Linked DNA regions of Rattus norvegicus. The protein of the gene in region 1 purifies or fractionates together with the protein of each later gene. This does not show direct contact. Links are inferred from orthologs where the notes say so. Each region holds a gene or a part of one and is shown in the gene's direction. Other genes may lie near its edges.

Region 1 (4,664 bases):
GGATTGTGTGGCCATGCCAAGGAAAGGAAGGTGGAGATGTCAGTGAAGTTGTGATACCTGAGTGGACTAAAGCATCTGCATAGTTCATTAGTGTGGGATGTGTGTACTCACACACGTGTATGCATGGCAGAGGTGGGGGATGGGGGAGGAGACTGTGTTTATGTGTAGGAAGGACTACTCGAAGGAGTTGGTTCCCTCAGCCATGTGAGTCCTGGGAGTTGAACTCAGGGCATCAGGCTTGGCAGTGCCTTTACTGGCTCTGGAATTCTAGACTCCAGGGCAAGTAGCCATTGACTGAGACCTAGATGGAAAGATATGGCTTCTCTCTTGTACGTTTTTAGTGATTTTGCTTTGGAAGCTGGACAGCATGGTTCTATGTGAACATGGTCTATCTGAAATGTCTGCATACCTAGCCCTACATTGTCATCAGATCACTCATCCATGTTCCAGGGCCCCAAAAGTCAGCAGGAAATGGCAGGGCGCAGATCTGATTCATTCTGATTTGGCCCTGACAGTGCTGATACATGCTTATCTTTGAGGGTTGACTATGGGATATATTTTTCTGGAAAGTTAGATTTACTGATTGAAACCCAGGGTGTCTTAGGGACTAACTGACACATTTAGAATTAGATGCAGGCATTGTCTCTAAAGTCCCTTAAGTGTAGGCAGGTGAGTAGTTTGCTGTTTAAATTCAGTTTTCCTCCTAGACGTGAGGGTCTGTCTGCTCACTAGGAAGAGGAGCCTTTCCCAGATCCTGATATCCTGGCTCTGTGTCTTCACAGCTTTTGTATACAGGTGATTTCTCAAGACAAGAGGACAGACATCTAATGGCCGCTGAAATTCCTAATATTAAGCCAGACATCCTGATCATTGTGAGTATTAACGGACTGGATTATAGTTAGTGTAATGTAAACCTGAACTTCTAGTGGGGAAAAGAATGACAGTGTCACAGTCCTGACATCCTTGATGGGCACCTGTTTGCCTGTTGTTTGTTATGTGAGGATTCTCTTGGCTGTTTTTTGTCCCTCCCCTTTGCTCTACAGTGCATTCACGCTGACTTAGTCTTAGGATCATGGTCTGTCTCTGCAGCATGAGGAGACAGGGTGTGCCTCCCCGCCACCTGCATGTCTTTCCCTAGGCGAGTTTGTTAGGAGAACATATTAAATGGTCTTAGAGATGGCTTTGCCCTTTTCTGTGGAGTACTTGTCATATATTATTAGTTTGCAAGTCTCAAGGAAACAAAAGAATGAACTGTCTTCAAAAGCAGTTTTGAGGGGACTGATGGTTGACAGTGTCAGGAATGGTCCTCTTCTGGGCCTGTCATACACACAAAAGCATCAAGTACCTTTGGTCCCCACGGCTGCGGTTTGGACACATAGCTGCTGAAGTGTGAGCCCCTGCCTGTTGCTGTCCGTGTGCAACATGCAGAGTGGATTCCTTGTGACATGGCCTGGTGCTCAGCACAGGCACCAACTTGTGCTGGGGAAGTTGTTTTCCAGCCCTTCCGTGTGACTTGTGCTGTCGAGCAGAGCTTCCCTGGCTATAACTTGTCTGGTGCTGCAGCCAGTGTGCTGGGCCGTGGGTTCTGCGTTCCCAATAAGTACAGGAACTGCAGCAGCACTCGCATAGTGAGGAGGCCCCAGGTTCTTAAGTATAAGCCAGAGAAACATTGCTTACTGTACTTACTGTGCTTGCCCTTGAGGGAAGAAGGAACATTTTATACTGATCCCTGACTCAGTGTCTGTAGCATTCTTGGTATGATTTGGATTCTATTGTTATTTATTGTTTTTCTAGTTACTGCTATAACAACAGATGCTCAGGTGAATGCCGTGTTGCTGAAGAAATGAATCTCAGCCTCAGCTTTTCCTTAATGCTTAAGTTCTGAGTTCTCAAGAGTGGTTGGTCTTAGTCTTACATATCTAATCTGTTATTTAGGAATCTACGTATGGGACCCATATCCATGAGAAGCGTGAAGAGCGAGAAGCAAGATTCTGCAACACTGTGCACGACATTGTCAACAGAGGGGGCAGAGGGCTCATTCCTGTCTTTGCTCTCGGAAGAGCTCAGGAGCTGCTCCTGATTCTAGGTATTTGGGTGACTTACTCTCGCAGCTGTGGATACAGCATTTTATCTTTATTTCTAACTGTGACTGGGGACTGAAGGTGTAGCTCGGTGGCCTCCCAAACACACACGAGACCCCAGGTTCAATCCCCGGAGCTACAGGGGGCAACTTGGGGACCTGGTGCTGGTGAGAGCTGGGGGAAAGCAGCACCTAATGTCCACTGCTGCTAGGACCACCTGACATGCCTTTCTGGTTCCCATCAGTATTGGAAGCCTTCCAGCATGGGCAACTGTAGACTAACTATGGCACTTCTAGGACGTGAGGAGAGATAGGTGGAGGTGTTTGTCTTCTCAGTCCTTGTTGTATTTGAGGGTTTGTTTGTTTGTTTGTTTGTTTGTTTGTTTGTTTTAGATAAGGTCTTACTGTATATATAGCCCAGTATTTCCGACTACTGGGTCCTAGGTCTGAACTTCCATTATTGTAGTATTTTCAGGAAATACCATGAACATAAGTTGAGTTAGAGAGCAGAGTGTAGACTTTTCACAGAATATTAAGTATACCACCCTCCCCCCCCAAAAAATAGGACTAAAAAACTACCTGTCCTATAGTCGGCTTAGGTAATGACACAAGCACAAAGGAATAATAGGAAGATGAGTGGCCGTGATCTGCCCCTCTTGTGTCTTCCGAAGACCTCAGTCAGTGTGCATAACTTTGTACTGTAGGGTTGTGTGTTTGTGCTCCCTGATCCCCCTGATTTGATCTGTCATGATTCTGTGAGGGTCGTGCTGCAGACAAGTCAGGGCCTGCACTCACAGCAAGTGTGTGTGAGGTAGAGGTGCCTGTCCTCCGCTCTCTGTGCTTGCATCTCTGAGAAAGGGATGAACAGCGTTCTTGTTGCAGTGACTGGAAAACAGTCAAGGGAGGATAGGCCAACACCTCTCAGGACCACAGCAGTCCTTTACAGAGACTGCGCTTGTTCAGTTCTGTCCTCTGAACCTGATGGTGAGACAAGTTGGTCCATCAACATGTAGAGTAAAAATCTGTGGAAACCAGCAAAGAGCCAGAGGGGTGAAGGTGGCCCTGTGCTGTCACAGATAAAAATGTCCATCATCCAGGCACTTGATTGCAGACAGGCAAGGAAGGGCATCTCGTTTGACCTTAACTTGTACCTCCTGTGCACTCCACTCCTAAGCCGTTCAGACAAACCTGGGCAGCGTGTTTGTAAACTGCTGGGATTTAATGAGGTTATCCCTGAAAACAGAAAAAAATAGGCCTTCACATGAAAGTATTTTGTTCACAACTTTCATTAATTAGTAAGAAGCAGTTTATACAGAAGTTTTTTAGAAATACCATTATGTAATATATAATAAGCAATTGCTTGAAATAATAATTATATTAAAACCTCTATAAGCACTCGGGAGACAGAGGCAGGCAGATCTCTGTGAGGTCCTGACCAGCCTGGTCTACATAGTGAGACAGTCCAGGACATCGAGAGCTACACAGAGAAACCCGATTTTGAAAAACAAAACAAACCAACCAAACAAAAATATTAATCAGTATAAATATAAAAGGAGCATTTGTGAGAGACTCCATAGTTTTGATCTGTGACTACAACTTTGTTTTATTTTTAGATTTTATATTTCTGTTTAGATTTGTAGTTTACAGTAGTAAGGAACAGGGTGGCTTTGACAAACTCATTAAAATACAGTTATATGGCCCTTCGTTTCTCAGTTAGTTATCATCATGATTTGATTGCTTGCCTGGCCTGCTTAGTGATGCTTGCCTCTGTGACACCACTGCAGATGAGTACTGGCAGAACCACCCAGAGCTGCACGACATCCCCATTTACTACGCATCGTCTCTGGCCAAGAAGTGCATGGCCGTGTACCAGACCTACGTGAACGCCATGAACGACAAGATCCGGAAGCAGATCAACATCAACAACCCCTTCGTTTTCAAGCACATCAGCAACCTCAAGGTGATGCTCATGGAGGAAGGGGAGGCATGGCGGAGGGAGTGGGGAGGGGGGGGTGGGCACACTGCAGCCTGCCCTGCTGAGACTCTGCTCTCCAGCCGGCCTCATGGTGCTGGGACTCACTGGAGTCAGGCTTGCCCTTGCTTGGGGTCTCCACGTTCCCTCAGTACACAGCAGTCAACCTGAACCCTCCTGCCACAGGAAGAAAGGTTTAGATTCTGTTATTCACATCTGATCCTCCTTGATTAGCACTGCAAATTCCATGTAGGAATTTATAAAACTTCCATGTGTGTGTCCCAAGATGAATTAATGCAACTGGATTTAATTTAAAGTATATTATGATCAAATGCTTTCTAATAACATGTTTTAATTTTGGTTGGTTGGTTTGGGTTTTTATTTTTTTGAGACAGGGTTTCCCAACATAACCCTGGCTGTCCTGGAACTCACTCTGTAGACCAGGCTGGCTTTGAACTCAGAGATTTGCCTGCCATTGCCTTCTGAGTACTGATATTAAAGGCATTTCCCACCATGCTCAGTACATTTTAATTTTGTAATGTGGCACTTAAACACACAGTGCTAGCTGCTCTTACCATGGCCCATGCAGAAGTGTGATTACTCTAAGTGGCA
Region 2 (4,664 bases), on another chromosome or scaffold:
TGTTTTCTTGTATTAAAGGGATTTCTGCTACAATTTTGGTAATTGTGATAAAATATTCCTTGTGGACTCCCTTGTCACTGAAGTGTGACATATGCTGACAAACAAACTTCATCTTCTGCTCATTGCATTGTTGAATGGTAGTCTTCACCTTCTATCAGAGCTTTCTCCTTGTGGGGGAAAAGGGAAAAGGGAAAAGGGATGACATTCGTAAACTCAGCCACTGTTGTTGGGGTTTGTTTCTACAGGCCCAATTTATGTTTTTCCCTGCACTTCATTTTCTAGGAGTCATGCAAGCCCAAGTTGGAATGCAAGGAGCTGGACCAGTGCCCATGGAACGAGGACAAGGTAAATATTAATATAGACTAGACATGGAAATGTTTCATATCTGCACTGTCTAATGTGTCAGCCACTAATCACCAGTGGCAACTTAAAGATTAAATTCATTAAAATTAAGTTCAAATTAATCATGAAAGCCTAATACTCTGATTTCCTGGGCACAGTGACTACATTCCAGGTGCTCAGTAGCCACATGTGCTAATGAAGACCACACTGGACATTGCAGATGTAGAATGTTTCTATATTCACTAAACTTCTATTGCTCCAGACTTCCCATATCCAGCACCTAGCTCTACAAGAGTTGGTGATAAGGCAAATAAATGCATACTTTGTTTCCTGGTAGTGTAACAGCTCCACGGGCATGATCTCACTTAATCTGAATAGCTATTTACTTTGTCAGAAACTTATATAATGAGCATTTAGTGTATGATCGGATGTAAATCCCGTAGTAAGCTGGGAGGAAAGCAGAGGTCTATAAATCATAGTTTAAAGAGTCTCCTGTACTGTGGTTAAAACAAAACTAAAAACACCGTATATAACAGCAGCAACCCTTCCAGAATCTTTGTGTTCTTTCCTTATGTTATTGAAGTTTGAAGGAGAAGAGAGTATATTAGTTCCGTTAGAAAATGAAAGACGATGGAAGAAAAGGGAACTGAGTATATACTGTATATACTCAGCCACCTCTATGTTCATAGACCACCCTTTGAGTTAGGTGGCAGTGCCTTAGTTTTACAGGTAAAGAGATGGAAGCACAGGAGTTTTAAGTTTCTCAGTAGGATGAGGTAAGTACATACTCATTTCTGACTACTGTGGTGGTCTGGATCTGGTGCTCTTCGTTTTTGACTTAAAAAGCGAAGTCTCCAAATCCAAAATCTGCCTTCTTTCAGAATTAATTTTCAAAATATTCTTGTTATTCATTTGGTATGTGTTGAGAACGGATTGCTTTGGACAGACCAAAGGGCCTTAATATTTTTCTTCTCAGCTGAGTCCCTATATGAGAAACTCATTTCAAAAACACATAATAAGATACAGGCCCATGATTGGTATACAGGGATTGGTGATTGAAATGACAAGTCTAAACATATCAGATGAATGACAACAAGACAAACTTGTAACCTACATCTTCTCTTCCCTTAAAAGTATCTCATGCTTCTGTGCTGCTGTGTACCCCATCTCATTACTGTTAGTACATGGCGTATCTACCTCAGTATCTTGCAGTAGTGAGAAGGGCTTGGCCTTCCATTGATCTCTTCCTCTTCCCAGGCCATCTGTCTTATCAGTGAACCATTCAGCTGTTTAACAAGAAATCTTCCTACTTTAGTTTAGTCCCATCTTTCTGGTAAGAATTAACAGGGGAATTGGCTCACATTTTGAAAGTGTTTCAAGGACCTTCTGAGGCAAAAACAAAGTGAGATGAATTTTAAAAAAATAATTTCCTTCAGTGCACAGCAGAGGAAACAAGAATGGTTTCATTTGTGACCAGACCTGTTTTCCTTTGCCTGGAATCATGTTAGGTTTGCATGTTTGTAATGGTAACAGATGTTTGAGACAGAACTTCTTTCCCGTCTTTTTAATATTGGTTATACCTTGTCAACTCATTAATCTTTGTCATGTTTCTTATAACTGTAGACTGGCTGTAGTAGACTGTTTCTTTCAGAGTGATACTCTCTTTCCTCACCTAAAGTTCAGCTGCATTTTCCCATTTGATACTATTGATAGAAAATTCTAGACTTTAAAATATGATGGAATTAATATTGCCCCTCTTCTGTTATGGTTGTCTGTGATAAAACGTGTCACATTCCGTGCAATTTGTGTTTGCTTTTGAAAACATTTTTCTCTTGTTTCCTTTTTCTTTTTAATAATGGTACAAGAAGTGATTAGGGAAAATGGTGCTGTAACAAAAAGAGTTCAAGAGGTTATTCTTGCCCAAATAAACTAGCCCATAGGTTTCCCTTAAGGAAGGTATCTGAGGCTGTGAGATGGTTCACTGATTTAGAACACTGGCTGCTCTTCTGGAGGTCCTGACTTCAATTCTCAGCAATTACATGGTGGCTAACAACCATCTATAAAGTAATATGATGCCCCCTTCTGGCCTGTAGGTGTACATGCAGACAGCGCACGCCTACATTTAAAAAATACATACATAAATAAAATTTTTAAAAGGTTTTACAAAGAAAGATATCTGGTCAAAGTGGAGCTGTTTTGGATAAGAGAAAGGCCTATTATAGTTTTGGGAGTTTTGTAGTCTAGGACAAACTAATGAACTCTTGGCTTCTTACTGACATGTAAATATCCAGTCTCCGTTCCGTGTGTGTGTTTATGTGTGTTCAAGCTATTTTAAGTGTCTCTCCTTTTGAACTTACTGCTCACCTAGGAACCTTACAGCACTCGCCCGTGGGACCCGCCGGGCCTGCATCAATTGAGCGAGTTCAAGGTACCCATTGTATCTGCGGGTTTCCTTTTGCTTGTGGTGTTCAGGGTGGGACATTGAGGGGAAAAGAGCTGCTTGGCAGTGATCCTCACGTTCAGAACCCCCAAAGGGTAATGTTTTTGGGTTTTTTTTAATTTTTTGCTTTTTTTGTTCTTATTTTTGTGTTTTTTTTTCCCCTCTTGAGGCCACAAGCCTAAGATTGACCTCTTCACACAGGGCAGAGAACATGGATGATATGGGCATCTGTCCGAGGCTCTACTCCCTCCCTACTGGTGTCAGGAGGCTTGGATGGAATTGCAGTCTGTAAGGAGACAGCAGGTTCTTGCAGAGCCATGACAGTGTTCATATGCCAAGACCCTAACCTCTCTTTTATGACTCTGGTCCTTAAACTAAGATTGGTTAGAAAGAAAATCAGGATCATAAGTTTCTTCAGGTCACTTTGCTAGTTCTTGACAGGTGCTCCCCAGTTTACTGTTTATATATAATTCCATCCATACCTCTGACATGGCACAGATTCTGCCTACACCCTGCTTCTGTTCTTGAGCTGCAAGAGGATTCTGCTGTGGTGAGGTTTCACCCACTTTAAGGTGTTTGAATTACATTGTCAGTGGTACAGAGTCATTTTTGTTTTTTATGTGTCTTTCACAGCAGTAACTCCCCATTTGTTTCCCTGTCAGTGCCAATGCAAGACCCCAGAGCAGCTATGCAGCGGGGAGCCTTGCCTGCCAACGTCCCAACTCCTCGTGGTCTTTTAGGTGATGCTCCCAATGATCCACGGGGAGGCACTTTAATGACCGTAACTGGAGAAGTAGAACCTAGGTAAGTACTGATATAGAAGGAAACAGCTTGAAAAGTTGGGAGTTTTCCTTACTTTGGAAGCAAAGTCTTTTTGGAACAATTGGATTTGTTTGCCTTCTTTAAAAGATAAAGAAGTATTTGTAGTTGAAGACTAAGCACTTTTGCTAAAGCATTAATTATATAGTTAAGGTAACTTTGAGCCAACCATGACTACTATATATTCAGATATTGAAAATAAGTGGTATTATTAATAACAATAGTTGTTGATGTTAGTGAGGATCATACCTCTGGTTCTTCTCTATGTACCTAACACAGATCATCTCATTAAATCTGCCTTAGACTGGGGCTGTAACACCAGTGGTAGAACACTTAAAAATGGGTATTTTTTTTTTTTGGTTCTTTTTTTTTCGGAGCTGGGGACCGAACCCAGGGCCTTGCGCTTCCTAGGTAAGCGCTCTACCACTGAGCTAAATCCCCAGCCCCAAAAATGGGTATTATTAATCCTGTTTTTTACATTAAGAAACTAAGGCATATAGAGGTTAGGTCAGTTTGATCAGTGACCTAGATCAAACAGCTAATAAATGCTAAGACCTGGATTTCAATATTCAGTCTGAATCCAGAACCTGCATTGCTGAGCACTATACTGTATACTTGTACATATAATAACCATTAATTCTTCCCTAATATTGAATGCCCTGCTCAAATAAATTCTAGAATGCACAAATTTATACTCTATAGCTTTCCTTTTATCTTAGTTTCTTATTACCATTCATTTACTGATGTTTGTATCAGTTCTCTCTCTGTTGTATGTTTGCTTTCTGATCTGGCTAAAATTTCAATGTTGGTACATTCTGCTTTAAAATATGTCACTTTTCTCCATCTCTAGAGCTTACCTGGGACCACCACCACCACCTCATCAGGGCCCACCGATGCACCACGTTCCTGGCCATGAAGGTCGTGGACCACCACCGCATGACATGAGAGGAGGACCGTTAGCTGAGCCCAGACCGTTAATGGCAGAGCCAAGAGGACCTATGCTAGATCAGAGGGGTCCACCGTTGGATGCCAGAGGTAAGGGGAAAATGCATCACAATGCCAA

Evidence for each region.
Region 2: the proteins of Cpsf3 (region 1) and Cstf2 purify together in Homo sapiens (affinity purification with mass spectrometry; 3 studies listed by BioGRID and IntAct, with this or other methods). This does not show direct contact. The link is inferred for Rattus norvegicus from reciprocal best matches to the Homo sapiens genes CPSF3 and CSTF2.

What each region holds. Positions count from the first base shown.
Region 1 is NC_086024.1:46,574,436-46,579,099, forward strand, and holds part of Cpsf3 (cleavage and polyadenylation specificity factor subunit 3), read left to right. Parts: intron 1-782; coding exon 783-872; intron 873-1,935; coding exon 1,936-2,086; intron 2,087-3,864; coding exon 3,865-4,040; intron 4,041-4,664. UniProt on the Homo sapiens protein: Component of the cleavage and polyadenylation specificity factor (CPSF) complex that plays a key role in pre-mRNA 3'-end formation, recognizing the AAUAAA signal sequence and interacting with poly(A) polymerase and other factors to bring about cleavage and poly(A) addition.
Region 2 is NC_086039.1:101,556,573-101,561,236, forward strand, and holds part of Cstf2 (cleavage stimulation factor subunit 2), read left to right. Parts: intron 1-282; coding exon 283-345; intron 346-2,710; coding exon of another isoform or gene 2,711-2,770; intron 2,771-2,983; coding exon of another isoform or gene 2,984-3,085; intron 3,086-3,444; coding exon 3,445-3,586; intron 3,587-4,451; coding exon 4,452-4,636; intron 4,637-4,664. UniProt on the Homo sapiens protein: One of the multiple factors required for polyadenylation and 3'-end cleavage of mammalian pre-mRNAs. This subunit is directly involved in the binding to pre-mRNAs.